Linked DNA regions of Danio rerio. The protein of the gene in region 1 binds, or shares a complex with, the protein of each later gene. Links are inferred from orthologs where the notes say so. Each region holds a gene or a part of one and is shown on either strand. Other genes may lie near its edges.

Region 1 (4,175 bases):
ATCAGATTAGACCATTAGCATCTCACTTGATTCTTCTGTAGTTACATTGTGTATTACAACTAGCAAGAAATGAAAAGTTGCTATGATCTATATCAGGGGTTCCCAAACTTTTTAACTCGTGACCCCCAAAATAACAATTTTAGTAACTCACAACCCCACTATCCTCTGAGGTGGTTATAAGTAGGGCCAGATGGAATCTGCGGGCGTTTTTTGCTATTTCTGCGGAGAGTTTTGGTAAAGATCTGCGGAATTATTTTGGGAGTATCATAACTAAAACCTTAATATATGACATAAAAAAAAATATCTTTATATAATTTTTATTTAATGTTTAAAATGCTAATCCAATTAGATTCACATTATTTGGTAAACAAAGCAAGTCTCTCATATAATATCTCTACTAAAAGACAGAAAATATTACGGTACAAACTGCATTGTACATAAGTCAGACGAACATTTTCATATTAGTCAATAATATTACTGAAATAAATGTAAAAACTGAATTAATATAGATTTACACACATTTACTCAAGTAAATAAACAGAATTAATGATGGGCTAAACATCAGCGGAATTCAGCTCGCGCAAAATAAGTGTGGGCCTAGTAATAAGCATACAAACACTGTACACAATAATGCACACACACAAACCAATAGCAACTATATAAACAAGCTTATTGACAACACAACAAAAGTGCAGCAGTTTATCAACCATATCATTTTATAGTCACTATTCATTTGTTTAATTTAATATTAACCTCACTTAATGAGAATTGTGAAATATATACAGCACAAGTCTATTCTTGATTTAATTTCGGAGACCGCCACTTGGAGATCGTCCTCTATGTTCAGTCGTGGCCTTTATTTTTAATGTACAGGAGTGCTGTAAATGTGTCAAAGTTTAACATTGAGCCGTAAAATAAATCTGCTGCAACTAACACTATTGCTGTGTTATTAATCTAGCGTAATCACTCAAGGAGTCGTAATCCAATGGAAAAATAATGTAAACGCTGCTGTCTGTTTATGTACATGTTTTTGTTTTAAATGTAACTATTAAACACTATCTTCTGCAGGTTATGGATAAAATATGGTAATTTTAATAATTTATTTATATGTATATATTGGAAATCACCAAGCAACCCCCCCTCAAGGACTCACGACCTCCCAGGAGGTCCCGACTCCCACTTTGGGAATCACTGGTCTAAAAATTGAAAATCTCCACAAGTAAAGATGTAAATTTTCACACAATACCATGATCTATTGTTTTTCTGCTCACATGATTATTATAATACGAGTCTGACTCAGTGGCATTAATTCATCAACAAAGTATAACAAGTTTTCTAATTATTATTATTAGCACAATATAGGGCATATACAATGAGTCTTTTTAATTCAAGTTTATTTGTATAGCGCTTTTTACAATGACTAGTGTTTCAAAGCAGCTTTATAAAAGGTGCACAGTATTGCATAACAATCCAATTAAGTCAAGTCATTTTCAGCTAAAAGGTTAAATGCATTTTTTCCGGGAGCTGACAGATGTAATTGAGGTAAAGTTGTTTTTATATTCACACATTCAGACTTAATATAATTTCAGAAAAGTATTATTTGCAAATACTAAATAGGGGAATCATATTATCACCAAATGACTATAAAGCACAATATTGTTTACGGTCTAATATTGTTTTGAAGTCATTCTTATATGTGATTTCAGATCAAATATTCAAAGCAGCGTGGTAAAAAATAATGAATCTGTATTCACCTTTTTAAATACTGCTTTGCTATTTCATAGAACGCCAAAGTCTAAACCTGCTAATATAAAACCAACTTCACCTCAATATAAGCACATTTATTGGCCACCTATGAGATGTAATGCATCAGATTCAAAGAGAAAATGCATAATATGACCTCATTTAATGAAACAGGCACATAGCAGACAGTTTATAAATGTGATTATGGTGCATTACTTAAAATAATAATTACCTGTAATTGTGCCATGGACCTGTGTGCCATTCTTCAGCTCAATCGTGACGGTTTCATGGCTCAATTTCATCAAAAACCTGCAGGTCACAATCATAAAAACAATGATAAACAATTATAATAACATAACGTCTAATATCTACATATAAAGCATTTTGTCAATATGATTATATAAAGTATTTACAGCTTACTAATGATAATAAACTGATAACTATATTTAAAACAAATGATAAACTATATATCCAATAATCTTTAGACTTCCTAACTACACACTATAGTGTCTATTAACATAATTATATGATTATATACAGCTAGCATATTTAGAAACTAGTAAATAAATGTAGCTAACTTAGCATTAACAGTTATTGTTTCTGTTTATGTATTTGTTGCATTTAAGACCCCGCATGATCAAACTACCACCAAAAAACGCACAATGTATTAATAATCTAAGACTAAACCCGCTTATTACATAGTTTAAAACACGTATGTGCTTAAAACAAATGAGTAAAACGTTCAAACAAACGCTCGCCCATTCATTCATTCCCGCCTGATGAAGCTAACGGCTAACTAGCAGCTACACACAATCCGGCTCCATCTATTAAAATACATCGCGCATCCGCAAAGTTTCTTTGTGTATTTTACTTGTATGACAGCTGTAGATGTTTATTACCTGACGAGTTTCATGATGGCGGTGGACTTTGAGAGAAAATCCTCCACCTAGATGAGAAAAAATTGTAGCGCAAAACGAATGTAGGACGCTACTGGAGAGATGGTACAATCACTTCCTGGGTGAAAGGGAAACAGAATTCTGAGGACAGAAGGGTTGCCATTACTCAACAAAATCACCGGAATATTTTTACACGCTGGTAATTTCATTTATAAGCATGTTATAAACATACAAAAGCGAATTTAAAATTTTAAATGTTGCTACAACAATTTTTATTATGATAATAGCTTAAAAGTATTTTTCAATTTCGATATCTCATGGTACATAGGTTAATAAAAATACACTTTTAATTAACCAAAACAACAATAATTTAATCTCACAGTAAATAGTTTCCTTAAAGCATTCTTTTAAAAAACCAAAACAGCAATATTAATCATATTTAAGGCTTCAATTGCGTTTTAAGATAATAAAAGTATAATACAGATTTAAATTTTGACACTTTTTTTTCATAAATGTTTAAATCTTTTCCATATCACAGCGCAGCTACAAAATATGATTTATTTTAGACTATGAATAAAAATATACTATAATAAAATATTAACTTTATTCTGTTTTTTTCTTTGTAATTATATTTTCTTAATTCAAAAAAATAGCATTCAACATCCACCGGAATAGATTTAGTTTTAACGTATCTGGCAACCCCACAGTGACGATACAGTAAATAGGTTAATAAAAACACACTTTTATTAAACCAAAACAGCAATAATACCCATATTTAAGGCTTTACTTGTGTTTTAAGATAATAAAAGTATAATACAGCTTTAAATTTAGACAATTTTTCATGTAGTGTCATTTTCATATCAAAGTGAAGCTCCAAAATACTGTTTATTGTAGATAATGAATAAATAAGATACTATAATATAATGAAAGCTTTATTCTGTCTTTACTCTATTTATATTTTCCCAGTTTAAAAAAAAAGCTGCATTTAACAACCACAGGAATAGATTTATTTTTAACGTATCTGGCAACCCTACAGTGACAATATCTCACGGTAAAGGTAAATAGGTTAATATAAACATACTTTTAATTAACCAAAACAGCAATAATAATCAAATTTAAAGTTTTAGATGCGTTTTAAGATAATAAAAGTATAATACAACTTTAAATTTAAACAATTTTTACGTATTTTTTATACTACAGTGAATCTCTAAAATACTATTTATTTTAGATAATGAATAAATAATATACTATAATATAATATAAAGTTTCTTCTGTCTTTGTAATTATATTTTCTCTATTAAAAATAACATTCATGCACAGTTGTGGATTCAATTTTAAAATATCTGGCAACCCCGTGGCGATATCTCAAGTAAAGGTAAATAAATTAATAAAAACATACTTTAATTAACAGAAACAGCAATAATAGTCATATTTAAGCTTTAATTGGGTTTCGAGATAATATAAGTATAATACAGCTTTAAATTCAGACACTTTTTTCACGTAGCAAAAGATTTAATTTAACGAATCTGGCAACCC
Region 2 (4,059 bases), on another chromosome or scaffold:
TTAATTTTGCCTTGTGTATGTGAAACGTCCCAAGAAAAATAATCAACTTCAAAGCATTACCGAGTGTATCATGGCCAGTTTTCAGTTTAAAAAAGAATCATGCATTCATCCAAGTTAATTATATATAATTTTATTATAAACTGAGTAAAAAATTAACCCTGAAACCAGTTTCCAAAAGTCGTCAATAAATGTACAAGCACAAAATAGATGTAGGAGACTTTCAGGTTTAAAACATTCTGATGAAATGTCTTTTTAAAATGTATTAATGAACAGATGGCAGGGATACCTGTGTAATATTTTCTTTATCTTTTTTAAATACATTTACTGTATTACAGAAAGATACATTTGGTGCACATCATTTACAATAATAATCATTAGATTATTTACAATGGTGCCAATAAAGAATGAAAAAGAAGAAAAAAGAAAGAGGAACAACCAACAGAAATCAAACAAAAAACAAAGAAATATCAATAGGCCATCTGATCTGAGGGTAGATATATAGATTTAAAAAAAATTGAAAGTGAAGAGGGCAAAATAAGAAGCAGCAATTTAGAGATTTAATTGATTATAAAGGTCGTGCAAATGGTATGCTTTGAGTACTTTCTTGTTAAGTGAATCTGGAACTGTAAGTAATTTTTAATCTCTTGTAAATGCTAGAAATGTTAGCTTGCAACTTGACATTGACAATATACATTTATGAACATAAAATCTGCATAAAGAAAAAGGTTTATTTTAAAGTAGACATTAAACTTTGTTATAAAAAACACCAAAAATGACTTTTGTAGTCACAGAAAAATGCTGTAAAGTAATATTTGGACAATTGCATGACCAAAATAAGCGAGGAGTTTCAGCGTTAATCTGACAAAAGGAGATATTTGTATCAAAGTATGATCCAAATCTTTTCTTTAAGACATTTTTGATAGGATAAATGTTATGTAATAATTTAAAAGATATTTCCTTTACCTTTTTAGTAAGGAAAAACTTGATGTATGGACCATATATTTCCCCAGTTTAAATAATCAAAAAGACCGTTTCAATGTGAGATAGCAGAAGGGGTAGAGTTTTCAAAAAACACAGCTCTTATTTGATAATTTTTCCTTTTTATTTAACCTTATTGGGGAGTAAATAAAAAATATTCTACTTGTACAATATTTCTCCACCATTTTATGTTGTTACCCTTCACATTTCTCCTAAACAACAGATGTCGCTACACATCTTTCCATCTGTAAGCGAGTGAATAAAAGAACCGTCGCGTCTATTGATCGTCATCCTCGTGTCCAATGTTTTCAAAATGGAGAGGTTGACATGCACGTAATAGTGAGCATGTTGATTTATTTTGATGGTCGTGCATAAAAAATAAGGCAAAGAGATGAAGTCAGACGCCGAGGAGTTGATGCCCAGACTCCTGCCAGTGGATTCCTGCGACACAGAGGAATATACTCTTACCGAGCCGCCTAGAAACCCTCAGGAATATCTCAGATTTGTCCAGTAAGTCTTTCGGCTATTGAGGTAAAGTTGGTTTAATATTCGCACATTCAGACATTCTCATCAATAATACAGTTTTAGAAAAGTATTATTTGCAAATTGTAAAGAAGGAGATCATATTAGCTGCCAATGACTACTAAAGTACAACATTATTCAGTCAATTAAACAGTACTTATGTTGTTAAACCCTACTGGAAAAAAAAAACAGCTTAAACCAGCCTAGGCTGGTTGGCTGGTTTTAGCTGGTTGACCAGGCTTGTTTGAGAGGGGTTATGGCCATTTGCAGGCTGGTTTCCAGTCATTTCCAGCCTGGTCTTAGCTGGGCAGGCTGGGAGATGACCAGCTAAAAACACACACACACACACACACACACACACACACACACACACACACACACACACACACACACACACTCACAGAGAGAGCGCTGTGGGGGAAATCAGAGCACCTAGAGGAAACCCACACCAACACGGGGAGAACATTAAAGCTCCACGCAGAAATGCCTTATGGCCCAGCCAGGACTCGAACCAGTGACCTTCTTGCTGTAAGGTGACAGTGGTTACCACTAAGCCACCGTGCCGCCCGTCAAGATTGTGGCTCTATGCTGGTTTCATACCTAGAACCTCATAGTTTGTTACCCAATGCTTAGCACGTTGAACTAATTGATCAAATTGGTAAAACTAGTGATCCGAAGGACAGTGGCACTAACAAAATATGATTTGGGGCTACACTTTAATGCTTTTGGCTAATAAATTACTATTACACAGAATAACTATTGTAAATATTGTTTGTAAAAAATGTTATTTTACACATTCTAATGCAACAGGAAAAACAAAACTACTTTAAAGCTGTATTAGCTTTTTCTTGTTGATGAAACTATGCTTGACTTTGACTCTTGTTCGATGAACATTATAGTAGTCAGCATTTTACAAGTGGATTGAAAACGCTTTTCGAAATTGTTCTAAGACAAGAGTGGGTGTTGTTCAATGGTTTTCGGGCAACTTTAATAAAAAGACCCTGTTTAAATATCGACTACTGTATATTTTACAGGAGGGAAGCATCTCTGTGTCCAGATGTTGTTGTGGCACAAATTGATCCAAAGAAGCTGAAGAAACAGTCAGTGAATGTGTCTGTAAGTGGGAAAAGTGAACTGAATAATCTGTTATAAATTCTGTAATGTGTAAAATAACTGTGCCATTATTTTTGCCTCAGATCACAGGTTGTCTTGCTGCACCTGAGGGTTTTTCACCCAGCTTTAAATGGCAGCAGCAACAAGTCAGCAGATTTTCAGAAGTCAGACAGGTGTTCAATATTAACCACATTAGTTTCTTTAAAGGGATAGTTCACACACAAAAAATGAATATTTACTCATTATTTATGAATGTTACTATTATTCAAGTGGTTCCAAATTTTTTCAAGTTTATTTTTTCTGTTGAGCAAATCCATTCATTCATTTTCTGCCGCTTTTCCGGGCCGGGTCGCTGGAGCAGCAGTCTTAGGAGACAACCCCAGATTTCCCTCTCCCGAGACAGTTCCTCCAGCTCCTCCGGGGGGGATCCCGAGGCGTTCCAAGGCCAGCCAAGAGACATAGTCCCTCTAGCGTGTCATGGGTCTTCCATGAGGCATCCTCCTGGTGGGACATGCCTGGAACACCTCCCTAGGTAGGCGTCCAGGAGTCATCCCAAACAGATGCCTGAACCACCTCAGCTGAGTTCTCTCGATGTGGAGGAGCAGCGGCTCTACTCAGAGCTCCTCCCGGGTGACAGAGCTCCTAACCCTATCCATAAGAGTGCGCCCTGCCACCCTTCGAAGGAAACTCATTTCGGCCACTTGTAACCGTGATCTTGTCCTTTCTGTCATGACCCAAAGCTCATGACCATAGGTGAGAGTAGGAACGTAGATTGACCGGTAAATCGAAAGCTTTGCCTTTCGGCTCAGCTCCTGTTGAGCACAAAAGAAGATATTATAAAGAATGTTAGAAACCTGACTTCCATAGTAAAAAAAAACAAATATTATGGAAGTCAATGGTTACTGCTTTCCAACATTTTTCAGAATAGATTCTTTTGTGTTTAGCAGATGAAAAAAAAAACAGGTTTTACAGGTTTTCAGCTTTGTTCAAAATAAAGGATGAGTAAATGATGACAACTTTCATTTAATATTTCATTCTGTCATCATTTACTCACCCTTTATTTTGAAGAAAGCTGAAAACCTGTAACTATTGACTTAGTAGTAGTATTTAGAATTTGTTGTTACTACAGTATTTCTTTTTCCTAATATGGAAGTCAGTGGTTACAGGTTTTCAACACTCTTCAAAATGCCTCTCAACAGAGGAAAGAAATTCATAAAGGTTGATAACCACTTGAGGGGGAGTAAATACAGAGTAAATGTTCTTTTTGGTTGAACTATCCCTTTAAGTACTTTTAGACTTTTTAGAATTTGTTTTTGTAATTTGTTTCATCCATATATTTCTTGTTTCAGAGTGTGAACAAGCATCGTCAGCATTGGAAAGCTCAGTTTTTGGATGATAATGTTGTCATGGTAGGACTTTATTTATTATTGGGCTTAAATTAAATCT
Region 3 (4,108 bases), on another chromosome or scaffold:
GAATACAACCTTAGGCCTATAATGATTTTTTTTTACTCTGGAAGTGGAACAGTTACAGTATTGTCAAGTTTTACAAAAAATGGAAACCTATTGTGGAAGTGTACTGTGTTCTGTGTTTTGGTTTCCGATTTGGTCCGTCATTCCATCAGAGAGGAGATACTGGGAGATGGAAAAATTAATCAAGCTATAATCAAGCTATAAAACTCCAAATTACCGTGACAAATTACTGTGACATACAGTTTGGTAGCCTATATGATGCAACATTTTGACTGACTGACATGCCCTTTAAAAGAAAAAACTTGGGTAACACTGCTCTAATGTTACAGCCACAGGCTGTACAAAAAGCCAAGCCCCTCTCATGCTATCGATGTAAACAAAGTAGTAATCTGTTCAGATTCATCTTCAGCCTTAGTTAGTATAGCAAACTCAAAATCAGATAGAGAGGATTTAATAACAGAAATCTATTTATCTTTATATAGATTAAAGGAAATAGGAGTAGTCGTTTATTTCTGCTGGGTTCCATCACATATTGGGGTATCTGGTAATGAAGTTGCTGACAAATTAGCAAAGGAAGCACTAAATAAGCAAGAGGAAGTAAATGTACCTCTGGGGAAAAGAGAGGCAAAATCGATTTTAAAGGAAAAACTAATAAATAAATGGCAAATTAGATGGGATAATAGTAATACTGGAAGATGGCACTATAGTATTATACAGACAGTAGGGACAACACTAAATCAAGGAAGAAATAGGAAGGAAGAGGTGTGGTTATCAAGATTAAGATTGGGACACACAGGGTTAAATGCAACACTTGCGTTAATGGGTTTACATGAGGATGGGAAATGTGATGTATGTGGTGTAACTGAAAATGTGGATTATGCACTATTTATATGTAGCAAATATAATAAACATCGCAATATGTTATTCAGTCAGTGTGGGGAAGATAAAACAATATATAAAATTATTCTAGGAAAAGGTATAATAGATTGGCAAGTATATAGAGCGTTTATTAGGTATATAGAGTATTCGGATTTAGGTTATTATAGTCTTATATTTATGGATGAGAGTATTCTCAATCATTGTCATAAAGGCCCTTTATGTTAGAGGAGCTGAACACGCAGTGCTGACATGAGTATGTGGTCTAGATGCAAAGATTGGACAATATGAAACATCCAAGGTGTTTTTTTCCCCCCTTTCCCTCCCTCCTCGTTTCTTTTTGTTGCCCTTTCATCGGAGTAAGATTCGGTACAGTAGGTGGCGATAATGCTTTTAATTGTTAGTCGCCATAAAACAGAAAGAAGAAGAAGAAGAAGATGCTATCGATGTGTGCTGATATCGATTATCCATGCTTGTAATTGGCTTCCGGTCCCGATTATTCAGGTCTGTTATCAAAATGGCGGCAATCACAGCAACGAATCCTTCGCAGCTTTTACCACTCGGTTTGTTTCACTTTCTTTAAAATTGCTTATCATTTACTGACATAACTTTTGTGTTTTTGTACGGGGCAGAGATGCCAATCAGTCACGTTCGTAACTCACTTTGCTTTTTTATCTAATTGAATACACCTGTGCACAAAAGATGTGGCCCTAATCATGTCAATGTGTTTTTATTTTAACTTAAATATTTAATTTCACAAATTTATACATCAATGTGTGATTGATTATATATAAACGGAAGCCAGTTCATTTAGTTAGTGTGGGCGAAAAAAATAAATCACTAATATGTTTCCCTCTGTTGGAGTTTAAAATATTGTAATTATGACTTGGGAACACATTTATCATTAACAATTTCCATTAAGATGTATTTATAAGTAAGATACTCTGAAAATAAAATTTTATGTATGAGTTACGACATTAGAGATACCGTGTCAAATGATTAAAAGCCACTCCACTCTTTACTCGCAGGATTTTTTTGTTGTTGAGTCAAATAAGCCTAAAATTAGTACTTTAAAGAATGAATTTGGTATTAACATATTACTCAATCCCACACCTAGTGTTAAAGCCAAAGAAATTTTAAATTTTATTAAACGTGGTTCGTTAAAAACTTACCTTGGCTGTATAGTTGTTGAAGTAACGTTTAACATAAATTGAATTTCTTTACAAGGTTTTACAGTTGTATATCACACTGACCACTCAAAATGTTTCCTTTAACAGCCAATGATGTGACTGTGTTTATGATGGGGATTGTGTGCTGTCTTTCAGAGCTGGTGGATAAGTGCATTGGCTCTCGGATTCACATCGTTATGAAGAACGATAAAGAGATTGTGGGAACTCTGCTTGGGTTTGACGACTTTGTCAGTATCCTTTACCTACTGGCGGTAAAAAAATAAACAAAACACTGTCAAATATTTGTGATGTTTACAATTTAGTTTTGGATTCAACTTTTTTTTTTTTTTTTTTTTTATAAATACTGCTAGCTAAAGATATAGTTACACATAAGATTTCCCTTTATTTCCCTTAGTCCGTTTATTAATCTGGGGTCGCCACAGCGGAATGACTCGCCAACTTATTTAGCATATGTTTTACGCAGCGGTTGCTCTTCCAGGGTGGAAAATGGCATAACGGCAGCAATGGTTACTGAACAACAACGTTGTGGAATCAGTCTGCCTAAAGAATGTTCATTAGCCTGTGCTTTAGTTTTAGCATTTTAATATAAGAAAATGTCCAACAAAAGAACTCTATCATATTTACAGACTCCAAATCATGCCTCCAAGTGATGGAATCTTCAGAAAATGATCATCCTTTGATTAATGATATTATAACTAAAGTTCACCATTTACAAAACCATTTTTTTTCATATTTTTTTTTTTTTTTTTTTGCTGGGTTCCGGGACATGTTGGGCTTTCAGGAAACGAGCGAGCTTGATCCAGCAGCTAAGGATGCTTTGAAATAAGTTGTGAACGAATGCCAAATTCCTCTTTTAGAGATGAAATCTTTTATCAACGTTTACTTTTTAAATAAGTGGCAAGAGGAGTAGGATGCATTGAGAAATAATAAACTGTATGAAATACAACCTGAAATCTCAAACTGAATTTTTAGTCATTTTAAGACTAAATTTGATTTAGTGATTTTTACTAGATGTTGTATTGGACATGCAAGAATGATCCATGCTTTTTTTTTTTGCTCAAATGTGAAGACCCTGCTCAATATTTGCACATCACACTTTCTTTTACAGTAAAACAGATTTTACTGGATTGTCCTGCTTTTAACAATTCCAGAAGGCTTTTTTTTTTTTTTTATCAAATGATGTCTCTTCAGGACATTTTTAGCAAAATGACACCTGGAAAATAGTAAAAAAATTATAAAAAAATGTATTAGCATTTAAAGATGTATTTAATTTATGTATTCATTTGTTTTTGTTTTTTAATTGTATATTTATTATTGAAATGTTCTTGCCATGAAAATAGCCTTGCATTGCTGACATGGCATTAAATAAAAAAATACAATACACTACATCACATGTTGTCAACAGAGAAATGTAAATGTCTATGTAATGTTATCTTTGCGATGTTGTACATTTCCTTGATGCTTTACATCAGACATGGTCCTAGAGGATGTCACAGAATTGTAAGTATATTTCCTAAACAAAAATATTAAATATTTGCTTAATTGTCTTTGCACAGTGTATTCATGCATTCTCTTCTGCTTTGACTTAAAGGATAGTTCCCTCAAAAATTTTAATTGTCAACATTTACTCAACCTTCTATTGTTCTAAATGCTGTTCGAGTTTCAAACGATCAGTATCCTGTCTCCAAAATTTTAGGTGTTTGTTTTATTAGGATAAACTATCAATAAAAAAAGCACTTTCGTTCTAGAGATTAACTAAAGCTCAAGTTTTATACCATTAGACTATTTATACTGTATTCTAATTATTCTATAAACTATACTGCATAGAGAAGGCATTTTCTAATCTTTTTAGAAACTTTTTTTAAAGTATGCTTAGTTAGAAGTTCAATGGTATTAGCAAATTTTTATCACTATTGAAACCGTTTAATATTTTGTGACATTATTATTAAAGAATAATTCCAAGTATTATCATTGATTAAAAAAAAAAAAAAATCAATTGAATGTGAAGTGTACTTGAATGTGAAGTGTACACTCATGTATTCAAG

What was found. The genes of interacting proteins can lie anywhere in the genome.
Region 2: snrpd1 (region 1) and gemin2 share a complex: the UniProt entries of both Homo sapiens proteins name them as parts of the SMN-Sm complex. The link is inferred for Danio rerio from reciprocal best matches to the Homo sapiens genes SNRPD1 and GEMIN2.
Region 3: snrpd1 (region 1) and lsm5 share a complex: the UniProt entries of both Homo sapiens proteins name them as parts of the U4/U6-U5 tri-snRNP complex. The link is inferred for Danio rerio from reciprocal best matches to the Homo sapiens genes SNRPD1 and LSM5.

Annotation. Positions count from the first base shown.
Region 1 is NC_133194.1:2,232,883-2,237,057, reverse strand, and holds the start of snrpd1 (small nuclear ribonucleoprotein Sm D1), read right to left. Parts: upstream 2,801-4,175; 5' UTR 2,657-2,800; coding exon 2,643-2,656; intron 2,053-2,642; coding exon 1,976-2,052; intron 1-1,975. UniProt on the Homo sapiens protein: Plays a role in pre-mRNA splicing as a core component of the spliceosomal U1, U2, U4 and U5 small nuclear ribonucleoproteins (snRNPs), the building blocks of the spliceosome.
Region 2 is NC_133192.1:14,292,587-14,296,645, forward strand, and holds the start of gemin2 (gem-associated protein 2), read left to right. Parts: upstream 1-1,259; 5' UTR 1,260-1,369; coding exon 1,370-1,488; exon of another isoform or gene 1,489-1,509; intron 1,510-2,534; coding exon 2,535-2,616; intron 2,617-2,696; coding exon 2,697-2,786; intron 2,787-3,962; coding exon 3,963-4,022; intron 4,023-4,059. UniProt on the Homo sapiens protein: The SMN complex catalyzes the assembly of small nuclear ribonucleoproteins (snRNPs), the building blocks of the spliceosome, and thereby plays an important role in the splicing of cellular pre-mRNAs.
Region 3 is NC_133187.1:13,906,748-13,910,855, reverse strand, and holds the start of lsm5 (U6 snRNA-associated Sm-like protein LSm5), read left to right. Parts: upstream 1-1,308; 5' UTR 1,309-1,390; coding exon 1,391-1,436; intron 1,437-2,198; coding exon 2,199-2,294; intron 2,295-3,535; coding exon 3,536-3,563; intron 3,564-4,108. UniProt on the Homo sapiens protein: Plays a role in pre-mRNA splicing as component of the U4/U6-U5 tri-snRNP complex that is involved in spliceosome assembly, and as component of the precatalytic spliceosome (spliceosome B complex).